Linked DNA regions of Mus musculus. Each later gene encodes a partner of the first gene's protein in a complex. Links are inferred from orthologs where the notes say so. Each region holds a gene or a part of one and is shown in the gene's direction. Other genes may lie near its edges.

Region 1 (6,710 bases):
GGCTTCCCAAGTGCCAAGTGCTAGGATTACAGGCATGTACCAGCACACCCAGCAGAAAAGTGGTGGGTTTTGCTTTGTGTTCCAGGATGGTTACACATCTATAACCATTACAGAGTTCCTGGTATAAAATATAGAACTGGCGAACAATACAGTTTTCTTGTGTAGATTTTGAGAAACTACAATTCCTCAAAATAACATACAAAGCAATGTTTTTGTTATGGCGCTTACTATATAAGGGCCTGCTGTTGATAACTCTGTAAAAATAGCTTCAAATTCATACCTTGACCATTTAGTACATGACCTCTTTTACTAAAACAGGGCAAACTAAAAGCCAGGGTGATGACTCATCCTTTGCAGCAGTCTGTTTGGATAAAAAAGTTACTTACACAGGATAGCAGGATTTGTTTTAGAGCTTATCAGGTTATCTATTTTAAGGTAGTGCTTAAAACCACGCCTTTTAGGTATAGCTTAGAAAACTTAGTGCCTCAGTGTTTGGGATTTCTTTTTTCTTTTTGGTTTTACATGATAGGGTTTCTCTGTGTAGCCCTGACTGTCCTGGAACTCACTCTGTAGACCCGGCTGGCCTCAGAGATCCGCCTGCCTCTGCCTCCCGAATGCTGGGATTACTGTGTTTGGGATTTCTAAACCAGGAACTGTCCTTTCCCCTGTCTCTGTCCTGCTGGAAATTTAGCCAGCACAATCTCATTATAATCATCTTTTATTACAGCAAATTACTGATCTTTAAGAGGCATGCCAGTTTGGAGCTGTTCTAGTTTGGGGGAACAAGGTCCTGCTATGTGGAACTCTAGATCTTCCTGCCTCAGAACCCTCCAGTGTGAGGATCACAGGTGAGCACCACAGTGTCCCCAGCATTGGGTAGCATTATCATTTACACTATTTTTCTCTTGGAAAAAAAAAGGGGGGGGGGCATTAACTGTTTAAGGTGCCTTTGCTGAGTGAAATCTGCTTAGTCATTTTAGTTGCTTTTACTGTTTTTCTCCAATACTGCCTTTCATATTTAGGCTGAGAGGAGAATCTGGCAGGCAAGGCAGCAGTCCTATTAATAAGCAGAATGATTTGGGATATCACCATCTACTTTTCTTCTTTCTAAATGATTTCTGAAAACAACTCATTCTTGAAATTTCTATGTGTGATGACAAAGCAGTCTCAGCGCACTTTTTGGTTAGGTATTCCACACCAAGGAAGTAAAATCAACTGCTCTGGGGATTTGAAATGTCCTTTCATGCAGGGTCTGTATGAAAATACAAGGCCCTTGTCAATAAATTGAAATGTGGTGATCTGTTCATGGTGAAGCTCTTACATCCCAAATTCTGAGATTGAAAGTGCAATTCTATTAAGCTACTGACATTTCTGTAATAAAACAGTAACTCCCTTAGGATTTTAATTTAAAATTTGCCCACCTCTAGAAAAGGACAAAGTCTTATGAAAACAATCTTTTCAAACATTGCAGGACAGGGCACATTCAAGTGCTTAAGTGAAATTATGTAAACACAAAACATCCTAAATATGGTGGCAAGGCTCTTCTTCAAGGGTCTGTTGTCTGCCTTCTCACTTGCCTGGTTCTCCTCTCAGCCCAGATATGAAAGGCAGTATTTGGGGGGAATACTAAACGCAACTGAAATGACTAAGCAGATTTCTCTAAGCAAAACCGCTTACGCAAAATTATTGTACACCCAGTGGTTGTCTTATGTTCTTTAGGTTGAAAGGGGCATTGAAAGTAATTTCCTCAAGAACTTTCAGGGGGATTAAGACGAACTATGTGGAAATGAACTCTCTAAATCTTCCTTATATTGGTGCTATTGTGAGACATTACACCTTACACTTTAGCAAGAGCTCTGGGGCGGCTATTAATCGCTAATGAATGCTGCAGATAGCTTACTGCTGTAGGAAGGCAAGGTGCTCCGGTTTTGAAGGGCTTATTACATCGCCCACCCTGTAACTACAGGTAATGGTCCTACTACCATGTATGACTAACAGTCAATCCCTCAGCTCCAAGACAGCCCCTGAGGTTTCTTTCCCTAGCCATCCTTTGATCTACATCTTTTAAGCTTTTTCCTGTGGCCGAACCCTCCAGTTCTCGAAGGCCAAACTGATCTCTACACTAGGCTGATCTAAGTCCACCAAAATGTCCGCGGAAGCGCTCTCCAGGGGCCAGCAGGAGATTCTTCTCCCATGGCCTTCCCTGTCCTTTGAGATGGTTTATCTGAGGATCTCGAGGAGCCATCCGGCTCTCCTGGCGTCAGAAGGGCGTGCGTCAGGGCAAGGAAGCTTGCAGCTCAGTACGGTCCCCCTCCCTGAGGTGTCAGCAACCACCCACTGCGCGAAACCAGGCGGGGGAGGCGCGCCGCAGCCAGCCGCCCGAGGAGCTCTGCGGCGGGGCCGTTTCCCTTAGTCACCGCGGCACCCACGCCGCGGCCTTCTCCTCAGGCACTCGGTGTCCTCACGCCCAGGCCGCCACGCCGGCAGGGGGCTCAACCGCCACCTCCTCCCCAGGAGCAGCGGCCAGTATCTTGCCTCTCGCCCTCCACTCTGGCAGCCTTCAACCGACCCTTCCCTACCCGCATCACGTGCACCGGGAAGTGCGTGGGTGGGTCTTACAGCGCCTACGGAAATGACGTAGTTCGCCCCGAGTCGCATGATGTGGCAAAATGTTAAAAAAAAAAAAAAGTGGGAGGGGGGAGGGGAGAAGGGAGAAACCGGAGCCTGGGGAAAGTGATGAGTCTAGAAAAAGTAGTCCCTCGGTTCCTCTGTTTCCCCGCAGCCGCATCAGCGAAGAGCGCTCCGCGCACTGCGTCCCTGAATCCCTACGCCCGACCGCGGCGCGGCGTCTGTGGAAGGCTACATAAGGCGGACGGCGTGAGGAGACTGGGCGGAGTTCTGCCTCGGGATCCTTCCGCAGGGCTCAGCCGTTTCCGGAGTCTGCGCTGCTCCCGGTTCCGCCATTGCGGCTCTCCCGGCCCCTGGAGCCTCCGCCCCCGACCCAAGCTCTCTCGTCTGCCTGCCAGTTCCCTGCGTCCCCGGAGAGTATCCCTCTGAGCCCAGCCTCCCCTCCCCTTCCCCGTCTCCTCCTCTCCCTTGGAGAGCCCGGGCAGGCACTGCCCTGCAGCCCCAGTGACAGGAGGAGACCATACTCCCCGACAGCGCCATGGCCCAGATTCTGCCCATTCGCTTTCAGGAGCATCTCCAGGTACGTGTGAGTCGGGGCTGCTGAGGGACTTTTCGAGGGTCGTGGGAAGGAAGAAGCTAGCGGCCTGGCCCGAAAGGGATCGAGAGAAGGGGAGTGGGGGGTGTCGGTATTTGGCATAGGTGGAGGAAGGACAGTGTCTTAAAAGCTTAAAGGGTTAAATGATATGAGACTAGGATGGAAATGACGAATCGGAGTGCAAAGGGCGGCGAGGCCAGGCCTTACGTCTGACGACCTCTTATTCTGCTTCCTGGATTGCAAGAACTGCGCATACCAGACCCCCCTTCCCATTTTACTCAGTTCATTCATTTGGGTAGGGGCTAGGTGGGGGAGCTTCTCGCGCGTTTCTCCCAGAGCAAGATTTCTCGTTAACCCTGAGCGACGCGGGGCTGTCACCTTCCCTTGGTCTATTCCCATTTCTACATCGAGTCTGCACCCAGGAATTGTGTGGCGGGTGGGTTGGGGAGGAGCTGCATCCTCCCTCTGCAGCTCACCACTGAGAAAGGCACCTTGGGGTTAGGGTAGCAGTGGCTCGTGGCTTGCCTTCCCTGAATCTATAAGGAACCGAAGGTCACACTCACTGAAGGAACAGAAAGAAGATAGAGGGGCGGCAAGGGGCGGTGTCAGTCTCGGTGCCTGGGGTCAAGGTCCCAAGGGGAACGCGCATATTTTTCCTTTCTTGGTTTCTTCAGAGGGTTAGTGTAGCTCTTAGGCTCACTTTGATTCTTGCAGGTAGGGAGAGTTATTTAGAGGTTATTTATGGCCTTTTGGAATTTAGCAGGTAGTTGTGGGATTACGGCAGGAGTATGTCTCACAGGACTGCGTGGAATTCATCAGAGCCGGGTTTAAGTGCATACCTGCTCTGTGTCAGTACCTAACAAGTTGATCTGTAACTGGCTCCTTTTTAATAGTCTGGGGCGTCCCCCCTCCGCCCCCCACTGCACCTTATCCTGGAGTCAATACACCATTGTCTAACCTGGCAACCTGCCAGCAGTTGGCCTAGGCAGGTGACTGTTGGAGGGCTTCGCTGAATTACGCTTCTTCTGAACTGCTGATTTTCCTGGTTCACTTGTCCCGACTCTTTGACATCATAATTTATTCATATTAATTTACTTTCCCTCAAGTATCCCCATAAAGAAATCTGCTTTCAGCTGCATCTTCTGAAGGGCTAATTTCATGAGGGGGAGGTGCAGTGATCCAGTTCAAATATTGGTAACTTATTGAGTGCTTTATCATTGAAGGCAATCTGATTTACTTTTCTTCATTGATATACATAAAAGATGTTTGATAATAAAGAGGGTTAACTAAAATTTAGCACCAAGTAAAATAATTAAATATTTCTTTATAGACTTTACCGTGTTGCTAACATTAACGAATTATTTTACTTTAGGACTTCTTTGCCCATTAAATGACTTGAATACATTTTCTTCAGTCATCACTAGTTTTCAAATAATTCATCTGATTTTGGCAATAAGATCTCTATTTTGTAAAGGTCTGAAAAATGTCAAGTGACAATGCTGACAGAGAAGTTAATTTTTGTTCTCAATTCAAGCTTGAGTTTCCTCTGTTAAGAATATAAAGTGTTAGGAAAGCACTGTTCTGGATGTTAGTGGACAGTGGGCTCTTCAGGCTGAGTTAAGAGGGAGGCAGCCTGTGTACACTAACAACAGAAAAAAATCTAGCTTTAATTAATTGCTTGCTTTAATTAATTTGACCATGATTTGGGTTGCTGTTTTTTCTTCTCCCATCTTTGGGATTAACACTTGGCCACACTGAAGTTACCAGAAATAGCTTTCTGCAAATATGTGTATAAACCTTACACAAAAGAAGCAAAGACAACTGCTGATGACATGACCGTTGCTGGTGATTTGAGTAATAGTTTTTCATTTCTATTAAACTCAAGACCAGAATTGTTGAATGGTCTTACAGACTGGAATCCAAACTTGTCACTAATTAAAAACAGATTTAATGCAGGTGTGGCATGTGAGTAGCAATTTCTGCAAATATTTGAAACTGTTTTCCAAAATTTAAAGATTTTGAATATTTATAAAATAGCTTTACAGATACACTTGAAGATCTCGGATGCTTATTTTCTGGAGGACCTCATTACACTTTAGGCTTTGGCTGGTAGGATCCCACTCTAGTAGATAGAGTCAGGTGTGCCGAAAGGATAATGTATCTTCTGATCTCAGACTTTTATTCCCTCTCTTTTAACAAACAAACATACAGTGTAAGGATTATTCCAGTTGTCATCTTAAGTCTTTGATTGCCCAGCCTCTGCCATTCTGCTTAGAAAACAACTTTCTAAAGCATTTAGGAGAACTGGGAAGTAAGGAGTGTAGAGTTCACTTGTGAAAGTTAACAGCAAACTCTAAATTAATTTATTTTAAACTTTTTATGAGAATGTTGCAAATAAAAAATTGCTATTTATTTTCATATCCCTTTGTGCATTTGTTTAGATGAAGATCTGTCATCAAGGCTTGGAACTATATCACATAATTTTGATATTTTATGTGATGAAGGAATTTTTGTTGAGTTGCAGATTCTGAACAAATTCTAGGCTGCAGAACTCAGAAAGTTCAGTGCCAGCCAGCAAAACCCTGTCTCAAAGGACAAAACAACAAAACCCCACTGCCTGCAATTTTCAGTTCCTGGCATATTAAGCATTTTGCAATTGACACATTTTGTTGAGCATTTGGATACTTTTAATTTTCATTTACAAATCTTTCCACCCCGTTCTTCTCTCTTTGATCCATAAACACAGACATGCAATGTGTTGCTGAGTTGAATAGTAGGATTCTTAAGAAGGTTTTGGTTTCAAAGAGAAAGCAGTAATAGATGCTTAGGAAGACTAGAAGAGCATGCCACCTGGAAGTAGACTCTAATCTACCGTGGAAATAGTTTAAATGAAGACCGATTCCCTCCCCCCCCACCCCCCCCAGAATTTTCTTAAAGGTTAGTTTACTCAGCTTTAAGGAGTTTGGCCAATTTTAATGAAAATACTTGTGCCCTGTTTGGGATTATACTTTAAGGTATGCAAAACTATGGTTTTCACTTTAAAGTCTTGGGAACTTGGGTAGTGTGCTGTTGGGACAGTTGTTTCTGATAAGTGAGGGCTAGAGAGTGAGGAGGAGAGCAGTCCAACTTCTGTTGTGTGCTGTGTCCTCACTCAGCCCTTGGTCCTGTCTCACATTAACAGTGGAAGACTAAGGCTGGAGGCCGTACTCAGGGGCCATAGTCAGAATGGGGTTTGGATCGCCTCTTCTGTTTTTAAGACAGAGTCTTAACTATATCGCACTGTCTGGTCTGAAACTTACTATGTATAACAGGATGGCTTTGAACTGAGATCTGCTTGCCTCTGGCTCCAGCGTGCTGGAATTATTGCATATTCCATCACACCTGACCATAAATCATATTTTAAAGACAGTGTCTTGCTAATGTTGCCCAGAGTGGATTCAGATTCAAAATCCTCTTGCTTCTCAGCCTCTTGAGTGCCGGGGTTCTA
Region 2 (6,008 bases), on another chromosome or scaffold:
GAGACTGAAGAGCGGTGTTTGGGCCAACTGGGGGCTGGAGTGAATGGTGGAGAGTGACTTTCCCATGAAAGAGCCCACACGCTGATGGCTAGAAGTGGGTTCTGTGCTGGCAAGCCTGCGTGCACATCAAATATTGAGACGAGTGCGGGCTTGTGCCTGTTCTCCAAGTGATGCCATAGCTGTCTCTGCCATGCAGTGCCAGTCTGTCTGTGAGGTTCCGAGACAAGCTGGGCTAGGGGTACAATGCAGAGGAAGCAGACCTGAGCCATCACACTTCCCTCAGCCATGCCCTTCTGCACGGGGGTTGAGGGAGTCATCTGTGCTGCTGTGTTTGAGATCCTTGGGGGCAAACTCAGCTTGACATATGGTTAGCAAGCACTTGTCCCTCCAGACATAGCCTCCTTTTCTGAAATCCTCTCTTTTTAGACAAGGCTTGGCTAAGTTTCCCAGGCTGTCCTTGGACTCACACAGGCCTGTAGCTTGCTGTCTGAGCCTCTGGAGAGGATGTGGTGTCGGGCTTGTGCCACCAGCCCCCACTGCGCATCCCTGTATTCAACAGTCTCCTGTACGCTACCCACGTGAGGTCATTCTCTTACCTCCTGCTAGGACTGTGGTTCTGGCAGCAGCTGCTCAAGTGCCATGTTGGAGGAAGCCGAGTATCTCAGCAGTTTATCTGTAATGCTTTCTTGTTCCCCTGTTCCCATGACTAGCCTATGTTTCAGCGGTGTTTGGTAACCATCTACAGCAGGATACAGCTGATGTCTCAACTTACCAGGAAAGACTCTCTTTTGACTCGGGGTTTCTCTGTGTGGCCCTTGCTGGTCACTATATAGACCAGGCTGGCGTCAAACTCACAGAGATCTCTTACCTCTTCCTAAGTGCTGAGATAAAGGTGTGCGCCGCCACTCCTCTGAGTCAACGCTCTTGACCCAAGCACTTGTTGCCTGCGTTAGCTAGGGATAGCCCACTTGCTAATTTACATTATACCTTCTAAAACATTCTTCCTGTAGAGGTGCACCTCTTCGTCTTTCTTTCTAAGTTTTAGTTTGATTTTATGTACCTTTACCTACACTTTGTCCACACCACGTGTGTGCCTGATGCCTGTGGAAGTCAGAGGAGAATATCAGATCCCCGGGACCTGGAGTTAGAGCTGTCGTGAAATATCACTAGGTGCTGGGAACCAAACCTGGCTCCTCCGGGAGAACAGCCAGTGTCCTTAACAACTGAGCCTCTCGGCAGCCTTTTGCATCATAGGCATGGCATATGAAAGCTAAGCACGGGCTAACGTGACGATCCTCTTGTCCCACAAAGCCCCTGGTACTGGACAGTAACAGATGTTGACAAGAGCAGGCTCTGTGCCTCCTCTCTGAACAGAGACTGGCCGGAAAGACTTGCTATGGGGCTTGTTCTTCTTATTTCCAGTCCTGTCTTCTGAACGTCGTTCTCAAAGATTTGGAACACCTCTGTCTGCCAGCAAAGTTGTGCCTGAGGGCAGGGCTGCAGGGGACCTTCTGAGACAGAAGATGCCACTGAAGAAGCCGGACCCTCAGAGCAGCAAGAGCGAGCATGTTGATCGGACGTTTTCAGATGGTCTTGAAAGCAGGTATCTCTTTCATGTGTACTGTGAGTTTAGTGGTATTGACGTGAGCTATCGTTCCATATGGTTAAGCTGGTAAAGTATATATATCAGCCGTATGTTTCTAATTAAACTTCACATGTAACCCTGTAACATGTGGGCAAGGCTTCCTCTTTTCTAAGGAAACAGACTTCAGATTTCAGGTTGGAACCAACTCTAGTGTTGGTAATCATAGCCACTCAGGGGCTGAGGTGGAAGGATTATTTCGCCAGCAGTTTGGAGCCAGCTTTAGCAACACTGCCTGTCTTAAAGCACCAGGACTGAAGTTGGTAAGTGGTCCTGATGCAATTGGCAGAAGTGTACCGTGCAGTACAAGGGAGAGAAGCAGTGTGGTATCCTCTGGTGAGAGAAAGTGCCCAGTGTGTGCAGACAACCTAGACATCGCTTTAGGTCATTAGCTAGCCAACCCTTAGAGTAGCCCTGCCAGGGACGGGGAGAGAAACTTAAGTGGTATCTTAATGAAGTTTAGCTTGTAGTTGCTCAAACTGATCCATTCTCTACACAATTGCATCAGCATAACCTAAGCTGTCCTTCCGGTGGCTCATAGATAAGTGTGCAGCTCATCTGAGGGGGAAGAGGAACCTTAAACAAGTAGGAAATTGTAATCTGATGTCTGGAGAAGATGTTGGACTTGTTATTAACCTGAAGTTTGAAAAATGTTAGCCGGGCAATGGTGGCGCACGCCTTTAATCCCAGCACTATAATGTCTTTTTAAACTTTTGATATATGCCAAAAGCATTTTCATCCTTTAGGGCCTCAAAAATGCTTTTGGTATTATAAAAATCTGTTTTGTAAGATATCAATTTATTATCATACTTTGTATAATTTATTATTAGACTTTATATAATTTATAGTTTATTATCTATATTAAGAAGACCTGTAATAGCAGTTGAGTCATATTGTTACTGGGGCCAGCAAGATAGCTCAGTGGGTCACTTGTTTTGCAAGCCTGTGGCCTTCACACACACACACACACACACACAGCTTTTTTAATGTTCATTTGCAAACGTTTACCAGAAGGCATCTTAAAACAACTTTGAACCAGGCAGTGGTGGTGCATAACTTTAATCCCAGTACCTGGAAGACAAAAGCAGGTGAATCTCTGAGTTCGAGGCCAGCCTGGTCTACAAAGTGAGTTCCAGGACAGCCTGGGCTACACAGAGAGACCCTGACTGGGAAAAGAAAAAAAAAAAACAAAACCAACTTTACAATAAGTTGATGTTTAAGATTCACTTTTATTTATGTGTGTGCGCTACACGTGTGTGGGTCCATGCAGGGGCAGAGGAGGACTTCAGATTTCCTGGAGCCTGACTTACAAGCAATTGTAAGTTGACCAATATGGGAACCAAACTCTCGTCCTCTGTAAAAGCAAAAACTCATCTCTCTGGAAGAGAATATTTTTAAAACAAACGTGAAGAAGTAAAATTTCATTCTGTTTAGTTACTTTGAATGTGTAGATTCACGCATGGGTGCTGTGGCGTGTGTGGAAGCCAGAGGGCGGCTTTCAGCAATCAGTTCTCTCCTCCTAACATTCGAGTGAGTTCCAGGGCTGAGCTCAGATCAGGCTTGGTGGCAGCTCCTTTACCTAGGAGAGATTATGACAGATGCATTGTCTCAATTTGTTTTTTATTAACATACAAATTAAGTGGGTTTGTTTGTGTCATCTTCATGGTTTTGGTTTTTGGTGGTCCTGGGATTGAACACAGAGCCTTCACATTCTGGGCAAGCACTCTGCCAGCCCTGTACTGTGTTCTTCTTTTCAATCACATCTTCATTTATATTTGTTCTGCCTCTGTGTTTGTGGGCACACACATACTCAGATCTAGTGTCTACTTACATTTATGATTAGAATATATTTAATGATGCTATCAAGTAAACGTAGCCAACTTGCTGGCATGGTAGCTCATTTGTAGTTCCAGCACTTAGGAAGCTGAGGCAGGAACATTGAGAAGCCAACCTGTCACACAGAGCACAGCAAAGCTGCCTACACAATTACTGAGCCGCTTTGCTTCAGGACTTGGCCTCACCCTGGCCTGTTCTGGTTATGTGGCTCTGGATCTAGCTGAGATTCAACATTGCAGGTGGAACGGTATTAGACTGAGTGATTGGCAAAGGAAGGGGCCTGTGAGCTTCCAGGACAAAAGGACATCATCTGTGTGGCCATCATACAATAGCTGTCTAGTCTGTATGGATCAACGGCTCCTGGGTCAGGCTCTGTGTTCAGCCCCGTTATGCAAACTAGTGGTCTCCATGCAGGATGGACAGCACAGGTCGGATGATTGTGATGTTTCATGATTGCTGTATAATACCACTGCTTGTTTCAGGTGCCACGTAGAAGACACCCCCTGTCCTGGAGAGCAAGATTCAAGTGACATAGAGCATGTAAGTCCTATTGCAAGGTAGTGGTAGGTAGCCAAGGGTGTCATCTGTTTATGTCAGGCGCTTACTGGAGACACTACAGGCAGAGTCGTCCTCGTTTGCATGTCCCTCAGGTTGTTTGCAGCCATGTTCTCTTTGTATTCTTCAGGCCACATCAAAATGTCTGCAGAACCAGAGAATTAGAGAATCCACGATCTTTGGCCTCTTTAAAGTTCTTTAAGAGTTATTTTATTTATGTGTGTTTTGCCTGCATGTATATCTATGCACTATGTGCATAGTCTCCTGGAATTACAGAAGGTTGTGAACTGCTGTGTGGGTGCTGGGAAGAGCAGCCAGTGCTCTTAACCACTGAACCATCTCTTGCCCTGGCCTTTATTTTTTATAACCAAACGTAATGATAACAATAGCTATACTCATCTGTGTACTGGAACCTTTTTACCCCAGAGTCCTGGGTAACACCAGGTCCAGTTTGCTCTTGTAATTGACCTTCTCTTTCTGAAACTGTGTGCCAGTCTCTGAGCTGAGTGTGGCGCTTGCAGAAAAGGTTGTCTTCATTACTGTGTTGTTTATGATGTACAGGTGGCCTGAAGCCAGACAGTGAAGCTCGGGCTGTTCCTTAGACTCTCTGTTTTGTTTTTTTCCAGATAGGGTTTTCCTGAGTAGCTCTGGCTGTCCTGGAACTTGCTCTGTAGACCAAGCTGACCTCAAGCTCAGAGAGCTCTGCCTGCCTCTGCCCCCTGAGTGCTGTCTTGCATGCTTTATATATTTCTTACTATGTCAGCCTTCTGCTTTTCATATATTTAATAGCAGTAAAACTTTTTTCATTTGTTCCAATTACGAGTGATTGGAATCTATAATGCCCACTTTTTTTTTTTAACTTTTTTACTAGGTATTTTCTTCATTTACATTTCAAATGCTATCCCAAAAGTCCCCCATACCCTCCCCCCCAACACACTCCCCTTCTCACCTACTCCCACTTCTTGGCCTTGTAATGCCCACTTTATGGGTGATTGGAATCTATAATGAGCACATTATATAATGAGCACTACTTTTTGCCTCTAGGATGTAAATAAAATAAATGTCAAGATGGATTGTTTCTCTGTTGAAACGAATTTGCCTCTTCCTGCTGGTGATGCTAATACCAATCAAAAAGAAGCAATCTCAGCTGTGGAAGGAGCGAGCTCTGCAGTCACCTCCCAGGATTTGCTGATGAGCAACCCTGAGACAAATACCTCCTCACAGAGCAACACCTCACAAGAAGAAGCTGAGGCGTCGCAGTCAGGTTAGGTCTTCTCAGATACAATGAAGCCTGGAAAACAGTACAGATGTAGATGGTTGTTGTAGAATTCTGAGAACCAGGTTCTCATGATGAGGGTTAAGCTATTAGAAGCTCACTATAACTATCTCCTACAAACTAGTTTCAGAATACTTTGTTCTTCAACCAGCTGTGAAGGGCCATGCTTATAATCCTAGCAAAAGAGAAGCCAAGACAGGAGGGTTACTCCTAGTTCAGGGCCAGCCTGTACTGCACGCAGTGTCCCAGGCCAGCAAGAGCAATGCAGCGAGACCTTGTTTCAAAATGGGAAGAAAAAGAAATGAAGTGATGCTTCAGAGAGCAATGCTGACCCACACTGGAGACGGGAGCCCTTGACAGTAGACCTGATCTGTTAGACTCAGAACTTCCCTCGGCTCTCTTCAGCCTCCATCCAGACGCTACCTTCAGAGTAGCCTGCTTTTCCCTTCTAATGCCTGTTGCTATGTACTATGTTGTGATTGTTCTATAAGGAAACGGGCCTCATATTTGTGTTACAATGCAATGGTGGTCTGTTTTCCTCACTATTCTGTAGGTCTGTCAGAGACCTGAGGTAAAATGAAATGTTAACAGCTGCACAGTCATTTAATGTCTTTTGTCTGCGTGATCCATGATCTCACTGTGTAGCCCTGGCTGGCCTGCAACTTGCTGTGTAGACCAGGCTGTCCAGGACCTCATGGA

What was found. Proteins that work in one complex are often made in the same cells at the same time.
Region 2: the proteins of Cltc (region 1) and Dlgap5 are in contact, whole or in part, in a crystal structure (PDB 7ZX4), measured with the Homo sapiens proteins. The link is inferred for Mus musculus from reciprocal best matches to the Homo sapiens genes CLTC and DLGAP5. Residues at the interface, in NP_004850.1 of Homo sapiens: Val50, Arg64, Pro65, Ile66, Ser67, Ala68, Leu82, Lys83, Ala84, Thr87, Gln89, Phe91, Ile93, Lys96, Ser97, Lys98; in NP_055565.3 of Homo sapiens: Gly833, Asn834, Leu835, Ile836, Thr837, Phe838, Ser839, Pro840, Leu841.

What each region holds. Positions count from the first base shown.
Region 1 is NC_000077.6:86,753,746-86,760,455, reverse strand, and holds the start of Cltc (clathrin heavy chain 1), read left to right. Parts: upstream 1-2,888; 5' UTR 2,889-3,166; coding exon 3,167-3,208; intron 3,209-6,710. UniProt on the Homo sapiens protein: Clathrin is the major protein of the polyhedral coat of coated pits and vesicles. Two different adapter protein complexes link the clathrin lattice either to the plasma membrane or to the trans-Golgi network.
Region 2 is NC_000080.6:47,389,732-47,395,739, reverse strand, and holds part of Dlgap5 (disks large-associated protein 5), read left to right. Parts: intron 1-1,422; coding exon 1,423-1,603; intron 1,604-3,960; coding exon 3,961-4,018; intron 4,019-5,077; coding exon 5,078-5,297; intron 5,298-6,008. UniProt on the Homo sapiens protein: Potential cell cycle regulator that may play a role in carcinogenesis of cancer cells. Mitotic phosphoprotein regulated by the ubiquitin-proteasome pathway.